Saccharomyces cerevisiae S288C: one gene and its partners. The gene in region 2 interacts genetically with the main gene of each other region. Each region holds a gene or a part of one and is shown on either strand. Other genes may lie near its edges. The genes, in order: RIM8, CUP9 and RIM101.

Region 1 (3,760 bases), on a different chromosome or scaffold from region 2:
CATGCTTCGATTTTTTTTTTCTATGTTAATGTCATGGATCATTACGTGGCTGGGATAGTGGAAATATGCAAACATGATTAAGGCGCCTAGTTCCAACACGGCGCAAGCTGCGAGTATATGACTTGTTACCTGCACTTTTTAATAGTCATCACAAGGGGGAGGATCGCTTTCTAACTGTTGTAGTCTTTTTTGTTCAAGTTCTTGTTTGTCTTCCGACGGTACACTGACTTTATCATTTGGCGAATACTTTGGAACTGGAACATCGTCACTATCATATGCATTTAATGGGGCCAACCAATCTCTTAAATTCGATGGAGAATTTTGAGGAGCCGTGATTGAGGATTGGGATGGGATGCTTGCATCAGATTGCTGCTGTTCGGATCTCGTCGTTCCTATGACGGTTTCTATGGACATACCAGTTACATTCCTCAGTCTCTTTAGCTTTTCCACATTTACCATATCTTTGAAAAATATACTGGATTCATAACCCTCAGAATCGTTCTCCAACGTTTCTGGATTGACCATACGTAGCATTTTCCTTTGGATACGGTTGATATTATTCTCTACGCCCAAGCCATTTTGTTCTCCAATAGGAGTTCCTATTATTCTATTAGATTCTGTGTAAACCACGTTTTTTTTTGATAAGTTAACCATAACCTCGATATAGTATTGGAAGGAGAAAAATTTTCCCACAGTAGTAAGGGTCGAAAATGCATCAAGGGGCACTTTCAGATAAACTCTAGATTGAAACTGCAACGTTTCAGGGTTAATATATATAGGAGAGATACTCTGACATATATCTTTTCTGAAAGTCTCCATAGGATCATCTTTGCCTGCACCGCCCACCCTACATATCCTCACCAAAGTGGTGGTGAGACCCGCAGGGGCATAGAAAGGCTTATAGTGGTCAATCTTAACGTCTATAGGGATAATTTCACCAATCATGAATCCAGCCTGCGGTATGTCTACGGATATAGTCACCGTTTTATTTGGTAAGGGGGACGTCTTGGAGTTTACTGAACTGCTAGAAGAATTAGAAGTAGTAGACTTTTGAGTTAATTGTGTATACGATGAGGATTCGTCCTCTGTAGATTTGTTCTTTTTGTTTTGGACCATAGATGCTGATTGTAAAACCACTGTCTTAGTTTTCGGCTTGGGCAGCCTCGAGACGTCCAGCGGAACTATGACTGCAAACTCACGTTCGCATCTTGCTTCCGGTTTTTTTAATCCGTTGATGTTGTTGAGGGATTCTAAAGTGCAAGAGAGGAAGTATGTTATCGAGCCCCTTTCGAACTTTATAGAGCTCAACATTCCTCTGCCTCGTGGTATTCGTATCCTAAAGGGAAACCTGTGTTCCCCCTTGCTTAAACCATTGAGAATGGTGGTTTTGTCAACATGCGGTTTCTTTTCCTTAGCCGAAAAAGCTGTCTTTACGTAGTCCTGTCCATAAAGAAACGTCGACTTCTCTAAGGTTTTCTCAATTCTCTTATTCTTGGAGGTTGGACTGTTCCCCGTTTTCACGCGAACCTCACATACTAGCGATAATTTGATCGCTACGTTAGTTATGTCTCTCTTTATGTCAATGACCGCTTCTCCGGTTATGCTTTCATTCGGTTTCCATACTCTATGCGGTTCGTCTATGTCTATACGAAATTGCTTCACGTTGTTATGGGCCAGCATGCTGTTGCCGTAACTGCCAACAATACCATGACTCTTTATTTTTGATGGTGCCCTTGATTCTTTGTTCCACAGTCTCAGTAACGACATGTTTGGTCAATGCTACCGATAGTGAGGGTGATGCTGATGATACTATACTAGCGTACTTTGGCTTTAACGTTAAAATCTTGTACGTGCGTGAGATGATGCGTATTCGGGGATGTCTATTTTCTATTTTTTTTTTTTCTTCGTCTAGATTGTTACTTTTGACTCAATAGAGCTTAGACAATAATACTATAAGGAACTTTGAAGAAGAAATCAAATGTAAGGGGAAAAGGAAAGGGTATAAGCCTAAGAAAAATGGCACCTGCAGAAATTGCTAGACAGTAGAACGTGTTTTGAAGCCAATCGTTGGGATTGGAGCGGAAAAGTCCAAGAACAAATAACGAAGAAAGAAAACAAAGAAAGGCGATTAAGTAAAGTGGTAGTAGAGCAAGTACGAGAGAAGAGGAAGAGGCTTAGACACAAAAAAATACTATGTTTATTTAAACCAGACAGATAGCAAAGGAAGAAAGAAAGGGGAAAAAGAATAGAAGAGAAGAAACTTAAAAAAGGCCAAGGAAATTCCGGTACTTGGCATTTCGTACTCTGAGTGCGTGCGACCTGCAAGCCGAATAGCGATTTTCAGATTCTCCGATTGGCTTTTTTTCTTGGCAAACGATACGATTGCGAACGATCGCGCGTTCACACGTCACACCGCAGCATAGAGCGAGTAGAACGGTGCGTGTCAGCGTGGTCGGCGTAGCCTAGCAATTGCCACTAGTTGGCGGACGTTGTAGGCGGACACGCGCTGAACTCGGCCCCGTTGTGGCTCATTCGCACAGAAGACCCGTGCGAATGGGTGGGATGACAACGTGGAGCGAGAGCAGGAACTAGGACGGATTAAGACACTCGTTGAAAGTGCTATTTGAATTTATATAATATAGTCCGAGCGGGGTCTATATCGGACTATATAATGCATTCCAACCTTGGTAAGTTGCTTAGCAACATGCTCAGCGATCTCGGAGTCCCTGCGAATAATGTAGTGCAACAGTGGCTGTGATATGAGTATACATAGAGTGCCCGTCGGCTGTAGATATAGCAATTCCGATGAAGAGCGATACGGAGTTTTTGGGCTGGCGTACTTAGAGAGCGCTAGCCTTACGAGCATAGCAAAGATGGCCACTTTTCCGTAACAATGGCGCAGAAGTTGGTTATTGGGCCCGTGGCGCAAACTTGACGGGAGAGGTTACAGACACAATATACTGCAGTTGAGCGAAAGCCGACGTGTTGTATTAAGCGCTTGAGTAAAACCGGATGTTCTTGACGATCTTAATATTGTTAGGAGAGTAATCTGCGATCGTGGCTTTGCCTGACGCACTCAATCTTGCGTGGGAAAAACCTGAATACCACTTAATAGATGATATTTTAGAGTATCATTTGAACGGTAGGTATACTGAATATATTGAAAGTCCTCCCCAGGGATACGAGAGTTCATAGAAGGAAACTAACATTTCTAAATTATATTAATGTTATTTTTTTTCTTTCATTTCTTATGTTGTCACTTATTCTATTACATTATCAATCCGTGCATTTCAGCTTCCATTAAATCTGCTGACTGTTTCTCGATCTTCACGTTCTATCCTTACATCTTATATGATATTGTAATACAGCTATGAACAATAGTCTATAGATGGTGGTCGATTCTTGATACAACAGCTGCATGACGGTTGTTGATACAATTATTTTTAGAATTTTAGTGGACTCTCATAGGACTCTTGTCCCTAAACGAAACATCAAAAAACTGGTTTCGTGGTCTAGTCGGTTATGGCATCTGCTTAACACGCAGAACGTCCCCAGTTCGATCCTGGGCGAAATCAAGTTTTATTTTTTTCTGATCAAAAACGTCTAAGGCATTACGCGGATACTGCTAACTAACCAAAGAAACCTTCCATCTTTTTTTTTGGTAGTTGTCCTACTTTCCGTTCTTTTCGTCTTTTAAAATCTTACTAACTAGCTGTATATAGTTTCAACTAGCAATCGCTCAAATGACGGGTTATGAGAA
Region 2 (3,498 bases):
CCGTTTTAAGTTCACGCCATGTGGCTTCTGTTTTATTATATATAGTTGTCCAGATGAAGCATTGAATGCCTTAAAATATTTGTCCGATACAAAGTTAGACGAAAAGACAATTACCATTGATCTAGATCCTGGTTTTGAAGATGGAAGACAGTTTGGTCGTGGTAAGAGCGGTGGTCAAGTCAGCGATGAATTGAGGTTCGATTTTGATGCATCCAGAGGTGGCTTCGCCATTCCATTTGCAGAGCGTGTCGGCGTACCACATTCCAGATTTGATAACAGTAGCTCACAATCTAATACGAATAATTATATCCCTCCTCCTGATGCAATGGGTACTTTCAGACCAGGTTTCGATGAAGAAAGAGAAGATGATAACTACGTACCTCAGTAGAATCAATCAATTTATATCTGAGAAAGATTCTACACACAGATATATATATATATATATATATTATTGTATATATACATACCTACATTATTTTTAAAGGCTTGCATGATGCTGTTATGTAAAAAAAAAAAAAAAAAATCAGTGTAACATAATAGACGTAACACGTTCAATGACATGATAATACTATATATAGTAACGATAAAATGTAAATGGTAATAGATATAATTATATGAATATTTAAGTAATGCATTGATAAGTGATCAATTCATATCAGGGTTGGATAGCTTTTTCAATTCTTCCAGCCTATCAATTAGTTTTTTACGGCGTGTAACGGGGGCATGAGCAAATCTCTTGGATAATTCATAATCCGTGGAGCAGGTTGACGTAGCATCGTACATAGTATTATTTGTGGCAGATAATGTGTTATGATATGCTGAGACGTTTTGAACTCGTTCCACTGGGGTATTATTCGCGTTGTCATTAGGAATTGAGTTTACCAGGGTATAGTAATCACTAAATATTTTGCGTCTTCTCACATTTATGAACCAATTAGAAAGTTGAATCTTGGTTAGCCCAGTTTTGATTAACAACTCCCTCTTTTCTTGTTGAGTTGGGTAGGGGTTATTCAGGTGGTTCAGCAACCAAGTATTCAGTATCTGCACTGTTTCCTTTGGCAGGTTAGACCTCCTGCCCGAATTTTGCTTCCTCCTTGATTTAGATTCTACAAAATCCGAAAATGGCCTGTTGTATTGTGCCCCCGCATCCTTTTCCTTATTGATTATTTCATATATTGGGGCGGATTTGTAGCAGGGCTTTGCATCATCGGACGCCGATTTTGACTTCTTTGAACTGCCATATTGAGATTGTGTATCCATAGCACTGCTACTCGTCTTGGACGTTTCAACTGTAGAAGCAGTAGGAGTAGCAGTAGTACTAGTACCGCCAGAATTAATTGCGGGATACGCAATCGAATGATGCTGTGGAAGTAACACAGGCGCAGGATAGTTTTGTTCCTCGGTACTAGACCGAAGGTTCCCATGCGAGTATTCTATGTTCGAAAATGCCAACTCGGGCATACTCCGTTTTTCTATGGAGTTAAATAGAACTTGGATAGGGGGTAGACTGACTTGATTGTCAACATTCTTACTGTTCCTGTTTTGTATTTCGCAGTTATAATTCATCTTCGAATGTAACTATTCTCGAAGGTTGTTAGCATAAAAGTAGGGGCTCGGCAAGTAGCGATCAGTAGCACTGGATAGGCGTGGTATCGCTTGAAAACAAGGGTGGGAAGATCAACTAAAAAATTGTATTAGTATATATCTTGACCAATTTAACATAATCTTACCAATTAACAGAAACAGGAGGCATTAAGAGACAAGAAAACGCCGGGCGCGACGAAATCAGTCATAGAAAATTAATCATTAATATATACACGCTGTAAGAAAACAAAAGGACAAAAATTAATTACCAAAAGAAAAAAACAAACTACAGCTTGATGTACATGAATAAATTAAGGTTCAACAAAAGAGAAAAGCTGAGAGACGTAAGATGGCAGAAATGACCCGTTCCCACAGAAAGAAATCTGAATCCGAAGAAGGAAGTAATACGCGCGTGAGCGGATAAGGTTTCTTATCTAGCCAATCACAAAAATCAACAGTAGTAATTCTCGTGGGATTCTTTTGTGTCTCTTAAAATTGCCCTTTACGTACAGTCTTCGTCCATTATCAGGACGATTTGACAGAAAATGAGCGAGATCAGAAATATACCGCTACCGATCATGAGTGCTCAGAAAACCCCGTGGATAACCCAACGGTCCGAAAGTGACAGTTTTTTCTTTTGCCGCTTTACTTTTTTTGCGTCTTAAAGGGCTGTGGCTCCTCTGCGCCTGCGCCAGAGTAGCGGTAGGGTTCTTACTTCGGGCAACGCCGACTCTGGGTGCATTCGCCAGTGTGAGGAAGCACGCTGCTTGTGCTTGTTGGAAGTGTGGACTAGGTCAAGCCCGCCGGACACTAGGAAACACGCACAAAATTCTCAGGCACTAAATAGGCCAGAAGCAAAAAGCCGTCGGTAGTGCTCCTTTTCTCTGTTGCCGTTAACGGTCAGGTCTGTTAAGACACATAACGAAAAGCATATGTATAATAGGCACCGACATTTGTGCGGCATATTCTGTGCTTAGTTTGCAGTACAAGACGAGCTTCGGAGGCATACTACTTTAATCATATTTGCTCACTTTTAAGTTGCTCACTTTCTAATACGTGCATTCCTTTACAAGCTTACTAACACATTGGCTTGGCACTTAAAACACTAATGAAACGTGTTTAAGGGGCCCGACAATATTGCTATTATGTCGCTCTCAACAGCTTGTTTGCGAATTTTAAATTTGATAGCTCCCTCTTTCTCCTCCTCTACCGTTCGACATGACTAAAAGGCGTTGGCACGATTTTCTTTGATGCTAATGTAATCAAGTCAAGTATGGGTTGCTTTGACGATCCAGATGCAGAAGTCAAAGTTACGAGTCAAAACCTACGAGACTAGACATATCTCTGCAGATGAAAAGGCCTGTTCTATAAAAAAAAAATCACTGTTAAAGTTCAGACAGAAGCTTATTTCAAGGAAAGCACTGTGATTGATTTATTCACTATCGAGTTTCTACAGGTGTTGAAGTTCATATATTTGCACGTGCTCGTAGCTCTTTTCTTCCTTTTTGAGACATAAAAATATGGAATATCTTGGCACCCGTTACAAGCCGTCTCTAAAAATATACATGGCGTACATAATAATCTCCAGCTGATTCAAATATCCCGCGCTTTTCCCGTGGTAAATACTGTGTGTCCTATTAGGCTTTCTCTTGGCATTTCACTTCTTAACCTCTAAGGTATTCAAGGGGCGGAGGTGTAATAAAAACAAGAAAAAAAAAAAAAAGAGGAAATTTGTGGCAATCTTCCTAATATAACTATGTTGAAATGTGTGTACTAACACCTTATACTATCTATATCCTTTGTCTAAACAGCTCTGCCGATAAAAAAATTCCCCGCGGAGATGTCCATACTGACTAATAAAATTGTCCCGCACAGGCAAAAAGCAACTTTAAATGCATGGGCTCCTAATCTTAG
Region 3 (3,760 bases), on a different chromosome or scaffold from region 2:
TCTGTACAGAGTGTGGAAACGTCAACAGAGTCCAGTGTGTACGTTTCAAGTAGCTCTATCACGAGTAGTAGTAGTACGAGTATTGTGGACACAACCACAATCTCGCCGACTCTGACGTCAACGAGTACGACCCCATTGACAACCGCCTCAACCAGTACAACACCATCAACTGATATAACATCGGCACTGCCCACGACTACAAGCACAAAGTTGTCAACATCCATTCCCACAAGCACGACATCGTCAACCTCTACCACCACAAGTACCTCATCGTCGACTTCTACGACCGTAAGTGTCACATCATCAACATCTACCACCACAAGTACTACGTCGTCAACCCTCATTTCCACGAGCACATCATCATCATCATCATCAACTCCAACCACAACATCGTCAGCCCCCATTTCTACAAGCACGACGTCGTCAACTTCCACTTCAACAAGTACAACATCGCCAACTTCTTCTTCAGCACCTACAAGCTCGTCTAATACAACACCAACGAGCACAACGTTCACTACGACATCACCCAGTACAGCCCCTTCAAGCACTACGGTTACTTACACCAGTACCACAGCATCTCCAATAACGTCCACTATAACTTCTGTAAACCTGCAGACCTCCTTAAAGTATTCTGTGATAACAGTGACTTCAGTGCACACCATGGACACTAACATTTCGGAAATCACCTCGAGATATCTCACCATGAAAAAAGTAATAACGCAGATTTACTCTTCCACCCTCGGGGCTACTCCTACTTCTGCAGTGGCTACTACGTCTGCCAGCGTAGGTGGTAGAATAACAAACAATAACAATAGTAACACCACCAACAGCAATACACCAACTAACAAGTCTACAGAAAAGAAAGGGTACTGGGATTCGCCCGGGAAAATAGCCGCTACTTTCGTCGTGGTTGGAGTGGTATGTTTGGTAATTATATGCATACTAATATACTTAATACATCATTATAGAACAAGACCCGCTCGGAAGGCTCAAGATTTTGAGAATGAATATCAGAGTAAGTTTTACCAGTCCAAGTACCCAAATGAAGTTACCACTACCACGTTACACACGCCTTCACCATCTTCAAATTCAACTTTCTCGACCCCAAGATTAATATACACTGATGAAAAGGGACAAATTATGTCTGAATCACCATCCCCACGTCAATCTACGTATTCCTTGACTGCAGGCAGTCCACCAAATGACCCAAGCACGTTGGCAAGCCCATTTCACGATCCCATTCTTCCCAGAAGAACTTCTACTTTTCTTCATTCGCCCATTCAAAAGCAACACGAAAAAATGGAATCAAACGTTACTCTAGGTGAAGACACGGTACTGGTGGATCAGAGGCTAGACCCAAGTAAGATGCTTAACACTTTAGCAAATGACGATGCCACAAACCACTCTACCATTTCGTTATCAGACAACGTAGACTACTCCAGGAGGGTTCTGCGGCTAATGAACGAATAAAGACTGCAGCTCTTATACGTAATAAATATTCCACGAACGATAATACATACATAATTTTAATTCTGAACTTTGTTTTTTTCCTTCGAATGTTCTCAAAAGAATGCTTTACGACAATAACGCTGTTATCTTGTACATACTTTTCTCTGCCCAGTGACAGCAGGCACAATAATCTAAATACCGCGTTCGTGCGAGACATTCTCTGTGATTCACAGATTACGGCGCAGAAAATAAAATAGCCGTCCAGCTCGGAGTTTCTAAAATTACGTCCGAGATGACGGAGGCTTATAAAATCATTTCAGACGGGTGAGGGATGCCAATCTACGAGACAAAAGATAAAAAATTAAGACTCAATAATATAGAAAGGAACTAAATGTTTTCATAAGAGTCACCGTCTATAACCTTTTTTTTTTTTATTGGTCTGTTATCACTTCCACTGAGAAAGTAATATTGCTATTGCACAACACTTTTTGAACAAGTGCAAAGATAAAATACTGAAAACGGTAAAGTAGGTTTGTTTAAATTGACTTAAGATGGTGCCATTGGAAGATCTGCTTAATAAAGAAAATGGCACTGCCGCACCTCAACACAGCCGGGAGAGTATAGTAGAAAATGGGACAGACGTTTCTAACGTCACAAAGAAGGACGGGCTGCCCAGTCCTAACCTATCTAAAAGGTCTTCTGATTGTTCGAAGAGGCCTAGAATTAGGTGTACCACGGAAGCTATTGGCTTGAACGGTCAAGAAGATGAACGGATGTCACCAGGCAGCACTTCTTCATCATGCTTACCATATCATAGTACTTCACACTTGAACACTCCTCCATACGATCTATTGGGCGCTTCGGCAGTTTCACCCACCACATCATCTTCCTCTGACTCGTCCTCCTCCTCGCCATTGGCACAAGCGCATAACCCGGCAGGTGATGACGACGATGCGGATAATGACGGTGATTCTGAGGATATAACACTATATTGTAAATGGGACAACTGTGGTATGATTTTCAACCAACCAGAGCTGCTATATAATCATCTGTGTCATGACCATGTTGGCAGGAAGTCACATAAGAACCTACAATTGAATTGTCATTGGGGAGACTGTACCACGAAGACGGAGAAAAGGGACCATATCACCTCGCATTTGAGAGTTCACGTACCATTGAAACCGTTCGGTTGCTCTACGTGCTCCAAAAAGTTTAAACGTCCGCAAGATTTAAAAAAGCATTTGAAAATTCATCTGGAAAGTGGCGGTATTTTGAAAAGAAAGAGGGGACCCAAATGGGGCTCAAAAAGAACTTCTAAGAAAAACAAAAGTTGTGCAAGCGACGCAGTGTCGTCTTGTTCTGCATCTGTGCCTTCCGCTATAGCTGGTAGCTTTAAGTCACATTCTACTTCTCCACAGATATTACCCCCATTGCCCGTGGGTATATCTCAACATCTGCCTTCACAACAGCAGCAGCGGGCTATTTCCTTAAACCAACTATGCTCAGACGAGCTATCTCAGTATAAGCCGGTATATTCTCCACAATTGAGTGCCAGATTGCAAACGATCTTGCCGCCATTATACTACAATAACGGCAGCACGGTAAGCCAAGGTGCCAACAGTCGGAGCATGAATGTCTACGAGGACGGTTGTTCTAATAAGACCATAGCAAACGCCACCCAATTCTTCACCAAACTATCGAGAAATATGACAAATAACTACATTTTGCAACAAAGCGGTGGTAGTACTGAGTCCTCGTCATCATCTGGGCGCATCCCCGTAGCACAAACAAGCTATGTGCAGCCACCTAATGCTCCTTCATACCAATCCGTACAAGGTGGTAGCTCTATTTCGGCCACTGCAAATACAGCAACTTATGTGCCAGTACGGTTGGCCAAGTATCCAACTGGTCCTTCGCTTACTGAACATTTGCCACCTTTACATTCGAACACTGCCGGTGGTGTTTTCAACCGCCAATCACAGTATGCTATGCCACACTATCCATCTGTTCGTGCTGCGCCTAGCTATTCCTCCAGTGGCTGTTCTATATTACCGCCTCTACAATCAAAGATACCAATGTTACCATCGCGCCGTACAATGGCAGGTGGAACTTCATTGAAGCCTAACTGGGAATTTAGCCTGAACCAAAAAAGCTGTACTAATGATATTATCATGAGTAAGCTGGCGATTGAAGAAGTAGATGACGAAAGCGAGATAGAGGATGATTTCGTAGAGATGTTGGGTATAGTGAACATTATCAAGGACTACTTGTTGTGCTGTGTCATGGAAGATTTAGATGATGAAGAAAGTGA

What was found.
Region 1: mutations in CUP9 (region 2) and RIM8 together harm fitness more than expected from each alone (negative genetic interaction), as found in Saccharomyces cerevisiae (2 studies listed by BioGRID).
Region 3: mutations in CUP9 (region 2) and RIM101 together harm fitness more than expected from each alone (negative genetic interaction), as found in Saccharomyces cerevisiae (4 studies listed by BioGRID).

Annotation. Positions count from the first base shown.
Region 1 is NC_001139.9:412,109-415,868, reverse strand, and holds RIM8 (Rim8p), read right to left. Parts: upstream 1,768-3,760; coding exon 139-1,767; downstream 1-138. Other genes in the region: N-acetylglucosaminyldiphosphodolichol N-acetylglucosaminyltransferase catalytic subunit ALG13, read right to left, coding at 3,709-3,760.
Region 2 is NC_001148.4:212,397-215,894, forward strand, and holds CUP9 (Cup9p), read right to left. Parts: upstream 1,567-3,498; coding exon 646-1,566; downstream 1-645. Other genes in the region: nuclear cap-binding protein subunit CBC2, read left to right, coding at 1-388. UniProt on the Saccharomyces cerevisiae protein: Probable DNA-binding protein which plays a role in protecting yeast cells against copper toxicity. May regulate the expression of important copper homeostatic genes.
Region 3 is NC_001140.6:49,111-52,870, forward strand, and holds the start of RIM101 (alkaline-responsive transcriptional regulator RIM101), read left to right. Parts: upstream 1-2,000; coding exon 2,001-3,760. Other genes in the region: WSC4 (Wsc4p), read left to right, coding at 1-1,470. UniProt on the Saccharomyces cerevisiae protein: Transcription factor that mediates regulation of both acid- and alkaline-expressed genes in response to ambient pH.